3 linked regions of the Ovis aries genome follow. The protein of the gene in region 2 purifies or fractionates together with the protein of the main gene of each other region. This does not show direct contact. Links are inferred from orthologs where the notes say so. Each region holds a gene or a part of one and is shown on either strand. Other genes may lie near its edges.

What was found.
Region 1: the proteins of STK38L (region 2) and CDC37 purify together in Homo sapiens (affinity purification with mass spectrometry; 3 studies listed by BioGRID and IntAct, with this or other methods). This does not show direct contact. The link is inferred for Ovis aries from reciprocal best matches to the Homo sapiens genes STK38L and CDC37.
Region 3: the proteins of STK38L (region 2) and MOB2 purify together in Homo sapiens (affinity purification with mass spectrometry; 9 studies listed by BioGRID and IntAct, counting the BioPlex papers as one, with this or other methods). This does not show direct contact. The link is inferred for Ovis aries from reciprocal best matches to the Homo sapiens genes STK38L and MOB2.

The regions. Positions count from the first base shown.
Region 1 is NC_056058.1:12,789,707-12,793,649, forward strand, and holds the start of CDC37 (hsp90 co-chaperone Cdc37), read right to left. Parts: upstream 2,805-3,943; 5' UTR 2,710-2,804; coding exon 2,608-2,709; intron 1-2,607. UniProt on the Homo sapiens protein: Co-chaperone that binds to numerous kinases and promotes their interaction with the Hsp90 complex, resulting in stabilization and promotion of their activity. Inhibits HSP90AA1 ATPase activity.
Region 2 is NC_056056.1:188,234,208-188,238,448, reverse strand, and holds the start of STK38L (serine/threonine-protein kinase 38-like), read left to right. Parts: upstream 1-1,433; 5' UTR 1,434-1,469; intron 1,470-4,241. UniProt on the Homo sapiens protein: Involved in the regulation of structural processes in differentiating and mature neuronal cells.
Region 3 is NC_056074.1:46,387,448-46,391,741, reverse strand, and holds the start of MOB2 (MOB kinase activator 2), read right to left. Parts: upstream 2,805-4,294; 5' UTR 2,748-2,804; coding exon of another isoform or gene 2,731-2,747; intron 2,302-2,730; exon of another isoform or gene 1-2,301. UniProt on the Homo sapiens protein: Stimulates the autophosphorylation and kinase activity of STK38 and STK38L.

The sequences.
Region 1 (3,943 bases), on a different chromosome or scaffold from region 2:
CCGGTCGGGGAACTATTAATAGATTCCACATGCTGCAACTAAAGATCCAGCACACTATAACTAAGACCCTGTGCGGTCAAATTAATTAAAAAAAAAAAAAAAAAAAAACCCTCACTGGATCACAGCAAGTCAGTGATATGCAGAAGGAGCAGGATATGAACCCAGTCGGGCAGGCCTGCGCTCACAAGGGTACCAGGCTACCTTTTGGCTAATCCCCTCTTCCACTCTTGGTATTGCTTACTCTTTCCTCCCAGGCGCCGAGCCAAGTTCTTTCAAGATCTAATCTCATTTCATTTTCACGACAGTCTCATGGAGGCGGAGGGCTCGCTCCCCCAAAGCAGTGATGGTCCTGTGGCAGGGCTGGAGCCCAGGCTGCCAGTCACTGGCAGCTGAACCTCGTGCTGGAGACACCAGGCTCCCTGCCTCCACTCATCTCCACGACAGCCCTGGGTCCTCAGCGGTTGGACAGGGAAAGGTTTTGCGCCAGGAGGGAGTAGGGCGTGGTGAGAGGAGGATGCTGTATGAGAGCGGGCATGGCCTCCCAAACCAGCAGGACCAAACCTGGTGATAGAGATCAACTTCGTGACAAGAATAGGTGTTCCCGAGAATGAGCTTTAAAGCTTTGCGGAGAGCTTCAATATTTCATCATAAAATGTCACATATGGCAAGAGAGAAATACTAGAACTTTCTTTTTCCACTCCAGTGGCTTTCCCACCAGGTACACTAGCCAGGTGAAAGGGTTAGTCGCTTAATCGTATCCGACTCTTTGCAACCCCATGGACTGTAGTCCACCAGGCTTCTCTGTCCATGGGATTCTCCCTCCAGGCAAGAATACTGGAGTGGTCACTATTCCCTACTCCAGGAGATATTCCCCACCCAGGGATTGAAGCTGGGTCTCCTGCACCGCAGGCAGATTCTTTACCATCTGAGCCACCAGGGAAGCCCTAGCCAGGAGGCTGCTGCTTTAAGTAATGGGTTGGACCCAGAACTGGGACTAGATGTAGGCACGGATACTGTGTCTCAGCAGGATGAGGAAGGGCGCTTCTAGGTGTTTCTGGATAAACAACTGCAAGCTGATACATGGGAAGACAGAATGAGGTTTTCCTAACTGGAAAGTTCTAGAAGGTATATTCCATAAGTGTGAGAGCAAAGCAGCCCCTGGAATGTGGGTGTAGGAGCTCTGAGTTGGTGGAGCAAGAAGTTAGCACACAAGGTCTCAGGAGAGCCATTCTGTTGGTCTGTGAGCACAGCTGAGCGGCTGCGGGGGTGGGGGGGGGGGTTGCAGGTTGTCGAAAGAACATACAGACTTGGGATTCTGGGGGTCTGTATTTGGGGGAAAATAGATAAAAGAAGGGGCGGTGAATCTGGAATCAGGATGGGTGGGTTCCTTGTAACAGCAGGGTCATTGTGGATGTCTGAGAATAGCACACCAAGTTTGGGTCAGAAGGGAGATGGGATGGATTTGGGTCCTGGACTTGGGTTTGAATGTGGCATTCTGAAGCTGGCAAAGGTTCCCACTGGAAGTCTGTCTTGGGGGTGGGCGGGGACTGGGTGTGAGGTACCAAGGAGGGGCAGGGGTTCTGGCTGGGCAGGAAGCCACGTGGGTAGGGTTTCCTGATGTAATGGGAAATTGGGTCTAACAGTACCAGAGGCTAAAGAAGAGCCTCCGGAATTGGAGGCTCCATCAGGGTGGAGGTGGTGGTTCATTCTGAACAGGACCCAAGTTTCAAAATTCCAGGCCTAGATGAGACTGAGGGCCTTGGGGGGAGGGGGTACCAATCTTTGTTCTAGGGGAGGGGTCCTGGGTGTGGGTTGGAGTCCCAAGCCAGGAACAGAAATCTCAGGGGAAGACAGAATTATTTTATTCAGAGGAGTAAGACTTCTGGATCTGAACCATAAGGATCCAGAAAAGCAGGTCGCAGAACAGACTTAAACTATTGGGAACTCTAGGGTTTTGGAGGACTTCCAGACGGGGCCAGTGGTAAAGAGCCTGCCTGCCAATGCAGGAGACATAAAAGATCCCTGGATCGAGAAGATCCCATGGAAAAGGAAATGCCAACCGACTCCAGTATTCTTGCCTGGAGAATCGCACGGACAGAGAAGCCTGGCGGGCTACAGTCCATGGGGTCACAGAGTTGGACACGACTGAAGCGACTGAGCACAGGGGTTAGGAGGAGCCATGGAACAGCCAAGATCTTAACTGGGTACCCGACTAGGTTCAGGATCCAGATTCTGAGGTAGAAATCTGGGTGTAAATGGAAGATCCCAAGCAGGATTGGGAGGCACGTCAAAAGCTTGTCTTGGCAGTCTAAATTCTAAAAATATACCGTACAGGTCAACCTGGCGTTTCAAGAAGAAACTGGAAGCGCGGGGCGGTGGGGGTGGGGGGGGGGGGGCGGCGCCGGCATCGCGGGCAAGGAACTCAGGGGTCCCGGCAATTCTATGGCCCCGGAATTGAATCGAAGAACCCTAGGCTATTCGGAAAGTCCAGGCTGTAGGGGGCAATCCCAGGTATCAATGGCTGGGGCCCCCCGGCAGTATCAGGGGGTCAGAACTCTGAAGCGGAGTCCCGGGAGTGGGGGAAGGGGCTGGGCGCGCGAGCTCTACCTGGTGCCGCCAGCGGAAGAGGCTAGCGGTGTCGATGTTGGGGTGCGTCTCGTCTTCATCATCAGACACCTCGATGTGGTCCCACACGCTGTAGTCCACCATCTTGCCTCGGGGCCCAGCCCTCCAGGGTTCTGGTAGCGGTGGCGGCGACGGCGGCGGCGGCAGCGGCAGCACTGAGACACAGCCCGCGGAGCCCCGCCCCTTCCGCTTCCGCCCTGACGCTTACACCCCTCCCTCGCGTGACGTCACATCCTTAGTAACCTCAGCAGCGGCACTGGCGACCAAGTTCTTAAAGAGCCCTGCGCACGTGTTCCGGCTCTCGGGAGTCCGCTGAGACCTCACCCCATCCGGCTTCCGGCCTCCACTAGGCCCTTCCTGGGGAATTACGGGTGGGTTCTCCAACCTCGAGCCCCCCTCATCTCCCGCTACCCCACGGTGGGCGTTTACGGCAGCCTTGGGAGAGGGGGCAGTTGGCGAGACTGAAAAAGAGGATTGTCCTCTTAGCCACGCCACAGTGACGTCAGCCTGAGCCCACTACTGGGGCTCGGCCTCGGCGAAAAGACCTCGCTCCCGTCTTTTGTGAAGAGGGACTTAACTTTGTCCTGGAGATGGTGCCTGATGGGAAAGGACCTTCCCAGTACAAGGGGTACAAGGCCCTGCTCTAGGAGGGTCTAAGTGAAGGAAGGTTGTGGCCCTGCCCTCGAGGAGTCGAGATGGGGGCGATGTGGCCCTGCCTTGAGACCTGGTGTTTCCCTGGCTCGGACCACAGCTTCCCCTCTTGCCTCCCCCATCTTCTGCCACTCCTTAGCGGGGATTCGCGCATACACGCCCCCTCTGGAATCACCCGACCGCACTTAACGGGCCTCATTAGCTTGTCTACGGCGGCTCCCCATGCATCCGCTGGGTGTCGCTAGTGTCTAACTAGCGGCCAGTGCGGGTGCCCCGCGCCAGGTGGGGGAGGGGTGGAAGAGCTTGGAAGTGCGCACGCAGGGGGTCTTTCTCCGTCGAGGTACTCTGGGACTCCTCGCAGTCCCTCCCTCTTTCGTCTGGGATCCCCTTCCTCGTTCCAGACTCTAAGAACTCTATTACACTGAGCTTGGGCGACCGCAGCCACACATTTTCATGTATCCCTACCCACGCTTTGATACCGGGATAAAAGGCTGCGTTGCAGCCTAGGGCCAGGATTATCTCAGATTAAAGGGCGCAGGGCGGGGGACAGGGAGAATGGGTAGAGATTCAGCCACTTGAGTGAAGGGCGCCTCTTCCAGACTCCCCCCAACCAAGCAGGCGTTTGGGGGGGCGCTGGAGAGGAAGGAGTAAAGGTCTTTAAATGGGT
Region 2 (4,241 bases):
CTCAGCCTTCTTCACAGTCCAACTTTCACATCCATACATGACCACAGGAAAAACCATAGCCTTGACTAGATGGACCTTAGTCGGCAAAGTAATGTCTCTGCTTTTGAATATGTTCTCAGTCCTACTCACCTGAATTAATACGTGTGTGGTGGAGGGAGAGAGGTGTATAGCCCTCTGTCAAGCATGTTTGATCACAATTAAACTTCTAATGCTTGCATATGGCAACTGTCATTTGAGCCTCAAAATCACCATGATATAGAAGGAACTGATTTCTCCAAGAACACACCAGATCACATAGTGCTTTTTCCAACAATCAAGCTATGTATGAGAGAGAAGAGAGTGTAAAAAAGAGAGAGAAGTGATGTTAAGATTCTTTCCTAAGTCTTTCCTATGTGTCACCTGCTCCGGGCAAAACTAAAGATAATGGTTGTCATCTCTGAATTACATTTTCTGCAAGCACAGCGCTAGCTTTGTATATTGTCTTAACAGTCTAAAGTAAATCTTATTTTATAAAATCTCCAATATTCAGATAGAAGGTAATTTGTTAACGATAACTGGGGACAATTTTCTTATTTGATTTGCTAAATAAAAACTCAAATGCATCACCTTCCCAAAGCCATCCTTTCTGAGTCATAGTACAGGTGATTTTCCTCATAGTTCTCTGATCATAAACAAGCAGCAGCCCAGTACCATCAGTTATTTTAGATTTTCCAAGATGATGCAAGCAAATTTTTCATGAATGCTGCAGTTCTGGTTTGTTTGTTTGGTTGGTTGGTTTTTTGTAGCTTTTCCAAATGTGAATTCCTCTCAAGTCTCTACAATCGAGTCATGATGGGAAAGGAAAAGAGTCAAGGAACACTGAGTTACTAACTAGTTAGGCAACACGACCAGCCAATCCATTTTTGTTGACCACATCTTCCTACTCTGCAAAAGGTTCCAGAAAAATAATAGAAATGATCTCTAAGCTCCCTATTATCTTTAACACTCACTTTGCACTGTGAAGCATCAAGAAAAACTCTGGCGACCTGTAGGACACGTGACTAATGTGGCAACACCCTGGGTCCCTCAAGAGTGGCCTGAACTAGCTTTCAGCAAAGAAGAGGGAGATGAGGTGAGGCTGATGAGGAAGGAAGGCGGTCACTCTTGGAACAACTCTTTCAGGGCCAGTCAGGAATTTACCGGGCGCAGGTGGGTGGGGCGTGTGTCTGCCGGGGTGCCTGCGTTGACGACAGAAGGCTACTTCCGGCTGTGGTGCGTATGACGTCGGGGACCGGCCGAGCCTCCTAGAAGCGGAGGAGGAAGGGCTCGCGAGAGTTCAGGGAGGCCGCCCCGAGATTCCGGCGCCGCGGCGGCGGGTCCCACCTCCCGGGGGCGGGGCGAGGGCGGAGCGGGCAGAGGGAGCAGACGGTCGCCGGGCCGGCTGCGGTCCGTGCGGAGGCTGAGCCGGCCGCGGGCGCGACCGGAGGCAGGTGAGTGCGCTGATGCGGCGCTTCTTCGCGGAGGAGGCTAGGGGTACGGCTTGCCTCTCCGGCCCCAACTCTGAGAGCCGGATCAGGAGAAGATCTTATGTGTCTTAGGGTGTCCAGGGAAAGCCGGGCTGATTTCGAGGCTGGAAATATCTCCGGTGAAGCTCCGGTGACGGCCTTGGCCCTCTTGTTCCTTGGGGTGATAGTGGCCCCGGGTGTCCGGAGAGGTGGCCGGTGGCCCGGGGAGGAGTCTTTGTCCTTCCAGGCTCCTTTGGCCTCTCCCCTCCGCGGTCCCGGAGCCCCGGGCTCTCTGTCCCTGCTTGGGCTTCATAAACAATAACAAATGTCGTGAGGACCTTCCCCTGTATCCCCTGCTCTCCTGTCCCGTGCCCTCCAGCCGATGCCAGCGAGGGGAAGGATTCTGGGCATGGCTCTTAGATTGTGGGGGCTGTTTGTGTACCATTCCTAAAAACTGATGCGTCAGATTCCTAAACATTTCTCAAATAGACACAGTAAAAGCCGTGCTGCTCTCAGAAGCCAAGGAGTGTTTAAAGCCGGTCTCTCAAAATCGGACCCTACCGGTGGAATCCTAGACCCTTCTTTTCACCATCATTTTCTCCCACTCCCTTTTTTTCACCTTTACTACGAGGGGACGAACGAGTGGTTGTTTGGTATGGGTAAAAATAGGGAAGGTTGTGTCCGATGGAGGAAGGAAACATTTCACCCTTAAAAGTTGCCAGGTAGAGAGCAAAAGAACTAACTTTATTTTCAAAATCGGTGGCCTCCCGCTTACTGATACTACTTTTGTTTTATGAGACCGCTTTTCGAATTGTGGATTTGGAGGAAAGACTTAAAAAGAAATGGGGAGGGGGACGGGGAGAGCTGGTGGTGCAGGGAGTAGTGGCTGGTCCAGAAAGTATGATGCTGGTGTTCCTCACTTGATAAAATGCAGAGCCAACGCTCCTGTCTATTTCACGCAACTTGCGATAAGTTTTGATAGAAGCCAATTGCTTGGAAAAGGTGACCTGAGTATTAGCTTTAATACTACTAAAATCTGAGGAAACAGCTTTAAGTGTTTCAGTTATGCCTCCTAGCTGTAAGCTGGGAGTGAGACTTGGTCTTTCAGGGGCTGTGAGTGGGGGACGGGGTTAGGCCTTAATACTTGCCAGGTCTCCTTACTTTAAGGCAGGGTTTATTGTTGTTTAAGCCCAGTGTTGCTTACTGAAGGCAGGTTTTTGAAAGTTCTTTGTCTAGGTCATAAATGTATGTAAGGTACTGGAAGCCTCTTTGTGTTTGGTTTTTCTTTGTATGCCTCAGGATATATAAAACAATTAAGTTTATTATACTGTCTATCCAGTAGCTGAGAGGTATTGTATGTGAACTGACCATTCTTGTGACTATGTGAGGGGAGAGAAATTCCTTCAAAATAGGATGTTAAATTATGATGACATTTGTTCATTGCATAGAATCGTCAAAGTACCTTTCTGTAAAAGATTCTGATCTCAGAGGAAGTACAATGGATAAAAAAAAATTTTTTTTCTGTTTGTTTAATCTGGCTTAGCGTTTATGGTGTTCTCCTTGTTAAGATGGCTAATAACATTCCCCGTTTACTTGGGATATGTTTAGAGTGAGAAACAAATTGGGTGTTGTCTTTGTAATCCTTTGGAAGCCCCTGCCCCTGGGAATGAAAAAAAAATTAGACTTAGAAAAACCACATTAAATGAGTGCAATTCTTCTTTAGCCTTTTTGAGTTTCATTTTAAATAAATCATAGAGTGGAGACCAGAAATATTTGTGCAAATAAGGTGTCCTCAACAGTTTTTATGCTTAAAAAATTAATTTCTAAAGGTAACACGCTATGAAAACAAAGGAAGAATCGTAGTTTGTAGAAAGGGATAATAAAGCAGCAGCCTCAGTTCAGCCATTTGTTCTCAGGAAAGTTCTGTCCTCTCAAAGTTAGGGCTGCAGCATCATGTTAGCAAAGTTGGATAACACTTTAGATAGTGTTTTCCCACTGATCTGGGATCAGTTGGAGGCTCTTTTGCATGTGTGTGCACTTTTTTGAGGGATGGAAAAGGGCACAAATCAAAGCCAGAAAGTTTTGCATCTCAATGTAATGTGAAAATGATTTTATTTTACATAAACAATGGAGGATGAATCAGGCAAGCATATTGTCATCTAGCAACCCCAAGATTATGTTAAAATTAGCAGATGGGTAAGTTATGATTAGGTTGACTTGACATATGTGGAAATTATGCTACTGTATTTTAATATTAAAAACACCATAGACTTTTTGAATGAAATAATGAGAGAGCTTTTAAAGCATAAGAAATTTTAAGAATTAATTTAAAAAGATAACCTTGGTCAGTAGTTAAAAGATATTAAGTGAATCCTTCTTCCCCACCTCCCAAATTTTTGTTTAAGTCTTTAAGAGAGTGTTGACCTAGGTATGTCCGGTACTGATGTGTGCTAATTACATAAAGCTCCTTTCTCCAGGTAAATGTTTTATAATTGATTGACACAGTATTATTATTCAGAACCTTTAGAGAGAGGAAACTGAAGGGCAACAGTGAGTAGTATTTGCTGCCCTGTGCACTCAGATGAACTGTGGGCTTTTTCTTCAGCCTGATGGGAAGAAGATATTCCCAAATAACTGTAATACACAATCCATTTTGTGGGGAAGCCAAGGAGGAAGGGGTTAAATTTTACTAGACCAATTAAAGAAGGCTTTCATCAGGGAAAGGCATTTGTGTAGATGATTGAGATGATCTAGTCA
Region 3 (4,294 bases), on a different chromosome or scaffold from region 2:
GCTCCCCGAGCAGGTTTCCTGCAGGCCTCGCTTTCCTCACCCACGACAGGGAGAGCTGAAGATAAGGCTGCCAGCCTTGCTCAGCAAGGCCCTGCAGCGATGGGGAAGATGCAAGCTCACAGAACCGTCTGTCAGCCGCTCCTGTGGTCAGGACGGCGAGCAGGAGAGGGGGAGGGCGCCCCACTCGCCACTCCACTTGCGGCCACACTTTGTCACTCAAGACGAATGAAGGCAAAGAAAGTCCTTCTTTTGGAAAGAACAAAAAACACAGAAAACATGAAATCTCTATTCCAAACAGCCTGGTGACAGCGGATGGTACAAATCAACAAAAATATCAAGAAACAGTGAACACACACACTCTCCCTCAATTCTTCCAGGCTGCAGCCTGGCCAACTGCAGCCCCAGCGCTGAGCACGTAAAAGGCGCCAGCAGGAGCCAGGCCCCTCACCTGCCTCTGGCCAGCTCTCCTCAGAGGCACCAGGTGGACCAGGGCAGGCGGTCTGGGGTCTGCACCGCTCACGTCCCCTGTGGCTGTGAGGTCCGGGCCTCGGCAGCCCCCTACCTCACAGCAGATGCTCAATAAACTCGGGGGATGGACAAGGGGACACCCCGGCGCTCCCAGCTCGTGTCCCAGGACACCCACCCTGGAAATATGTTCTCAGGATCAGAACGTGACGACTGAGATTATTCCGCCTTCTTTTTAAGGAGCAGGGGGTTCATAGTGAAGGAGATGTGAAAGAATTCATGATTCACCAAATCCAACACGCAGTCCACCAGGTTTAAAAAGACACACAGACACAGATAAGCAAACTCCATCCTAACCTCTCTCTTGAGAGCTCAAGTCACTTTAGGACTGCCTACTTTATAGCCAGGCGGCAGCGAGGGCTCCTTCCCTCCGCAGGGACCACAGAGGCAGCAACTCCAAGACGGTCCCTTTTAAAGCTGTCTTCCTCCAGCACGGGCACCAGCCACTGAGCACGAGAAAGTCACTGCTCTGCTGACCTTGCCCAGATGGCCACCTGGGTGCATAGCCTTGACAAGGGCCTCAAGAACAGCTGTGGTAAATTTCTGGTTGTCCACAATGATAACCATGAAGTCCACAAGGCACAGACCTTGGGCAGTTAGAGAAAACAGCCAGCCGGTCAGCTTCCAGGGACAGAGCAGCAGACAGGAGCACAGAATGATGACAGAAGAACACGATCCGCCGCCTCCTCGGCAACCGCGCTCACCAGGCTGGTCCCCCTGACTCGGAGGCCTGCGAATCCAACTCAGCCATTCGTCTGCTCTTCTGAAACCAACCTGCAGGAGGCCCAGTGGCCTCCAACACCGTCTCTCCTGATAAAGGCAGAAAGCAAGCACCCACCGTTCAAAATAACACCGCTGCCTGCCCTCCAGTCTCGGTGCCTGCGAGCGACAAAGGCCTCCCACCAGGGCTTCCACCTACGCCACCAACGCCAGGCGCCACACACCGAGCTCGGCCACCTCAGCGCGCCCCGCCACAGTGTGGTCCTTGTCACCCGGCTCCCACGTTACAGATGACTGTTTAAAGGCGGGTCTGGAGAAGAAGCGACCACCTAGAGTCACACAGCTATTGAGCAGCAAGGCTGGGATGGGAGTTCCGCCTCTGCAAGAAACCAGGTGAGCTGCCTCGCCCCACAGCACCATGCCCTCCTGGTCCCTGCGCTCTGGCTCCAGATCCTCCCCGGCAGTCAGCACCTGTCTTTGGCCTTCTGACTCCTCCCTCACGCTGTCTGGTCTCCCCCTTCACTAGACTGCAGCCGACCTGCCAGCAGGGAAGGGTCTCATTGGTCTCATGCTGACTGTCCTGCCAGCACCCTCCACTGCCTACGCCAGCAACAGCCTGATCAGACAGTGACATGAAACGTACACGGGACCTTTCACCTCCCTTCCAGGTCTTCGGTGTCCAGACAAGCCTTCTACCTACCCCAGCCAGGCAAGCGCTCCCTCACTCCCACCCCAAGGCCCTAGAGTAACTACCCAGACTCCAGAGGAGCGCTGTGCACGTTAGAGCCAGACTAACGAAGGACCGCCCAACTGGGTGAGAAGTGCCTGCCCTTCTCCATCCTCAAAAAGTTAAAAGAAAAAAAAAAAAAAAAAAAAGAACAGAAAGGAAGGAAGAAAAAAGGACCGAAGCAGGTAGAATAACTTGTGGAGGACGACGTGACGTCCCGCACGTTGATCTAACCTCCAGCAAGCCCAACACACGCCGAGGGAGGGAGAGCCCGGCCCGGGCCCGGTGCTGATGCTTCCTTCCTACCCCGCCCTGCGGCGGCCGCCCGCGGAAGCGCCGAGCGCACCCTGCCCGCCGACCTCGCCCGGCGGACGCTGGCAGAGTTGGGTTGTTTTGCTCTTTTTCCCTCCTTTTAAAGGGACTGTCCTCTGCCGGCATCAATGTTATTTCTTGCAGAAGCAAGTTCCCCGCGCTGACCGGCGAGCAGCCCGGGTCCGACCTCTCCCGCCGCCCGACAACCAGCGGCGAGGTGTGGCCACCGGCCCCGGTCCGGCTCCCGGGACGCGGCGCTCCGCGCGAGCGCTCGGCCGCAGGCCGGCCGCGGGCCCGCTCCCGGCCCGGCCCCGAACCCGTTCCCGGGAGCCCCGGCCCCGGCCCGACCCGGGGTCGCCCCTCGCCCGCCCGGTAGGATGTCCTTGACCGGTGCCGCCCGCGGCGCGCCCTGCGGCCCGGCCCGCCCGCCCCGCCGCCGGACTCACCCCATGAGCCAGTCCATGGCTGCGCGGGGCCCGCCGCGCCCGCCGCCCGACTCACTCGGCCCTCAGCCCGCGGCGGCGGCGGCCGGAAGTAAACACTCTCTTACTCACTCCCACACGCGCGCCGCGGGCGCTGCCGGAAGTGACGCTAGCGCGACGCCTGCTGGGAAAGGTAGTCCCGGCTGCTACTGCGGCCCCCGCCCCCCGCCGCCGCGTCCCCAGGAGCAGGCGCGGGAATTTTCCCTTACGCCCTGGGATGTCCCTTCACACCCCGCCTGTCCCCTCACACCTCGGATGTCCCCTCACACCCTGGATGTCCCCTCCCACACTCCCGGATGTCCCCTCACACCTCGGATGTCTCCTCATACCCTGGATGTCCCCTCACACCCTGGATGTCCCCTCATACGTGCTGTCCCCTCACACTCCCGGATGTCCCCTCACACCCCGGATGTCCCCTCACACCCTGGATGTCCCCTCACACTCACTGTCCCGTCACACCCCAGATGTCCCCTCCCACACTCCCGGATGTCCCCTCAGATCCCCGGATGTCCCCTCATATCCCCGGATGCCCCCTCACACTCGCTGTCTCGTCACACCCCGGGTGTCCCCTCACACACTCCCGGATGTCCCTCACACACCCGAATGCGCCCTCACACCCGCTGTCCCCTCACACCTGCTGTCCCCTCACAACCCGGATGTCCCCTCACACCCGCAGATGTCCCCTCAAACACCCGAATGTCCCCTCACACCCCCGGATGTCCCCTCACACCCGCAGATGTCCCCTCAGACACCCGAATGTGCCCTCACACCCGCTGTCCCCTCACACCGGCTGTCCCCTCACACCCCGGATGTCCCCTCACACTCACTGTCCCGTCACACCCCGGATGTCCCCTCACACCCCGGATGTCCCCTCAGATCCCCGGATGTCCCCTCACACCCCGGATGTCCCCTCACACCCTGGATGCCCCCTCACACTCACTGTCTCGTCACACCCCGGGTGTCCCCTCACACACTCCCGGATGTCCCTCACACACCCGAATGCGCCCTCACACCCGCTGTCCCCTCACACCTGCTGTCCCCTCACACCGGCTGTCCCCTACACCCCCAGATGTCCCCTCACACCCCTGGATGTCCCCTCACACCCCGGATGTCCCCTCACACCCCGGATGTCCCCTACACCTCCCGGATGTCCCTCACACCCCCGGCTGTCCCCTCACACCCCCGGATGTCCCCTACACCTCCCGGATGTCCCCTCACACCCCGGATGTCCCCTCACACCCCCGGATGTCCCCTCACACCCCGGATGTCCCCTCACACCCCCGGCTGTCCCCTCACACCCCCGGATGTCCCCTCACACCCCTGGCTGTCCCCTACACCTCCCGGATGTCCCCTCACACCCCCGGATGTCCCCTCCCACACTCCCGGATGTCCCCTCACACCCCCGGATGTCCCCTCACACCCCTGGATGTCCCCTCACACCCCCGGATGTCCCCTCACACCCCCGGATGTCCCCTACACCTCCCGGATGTCCCCTCACACCCCCGGATGTCCCCTCACACCCGCAGAT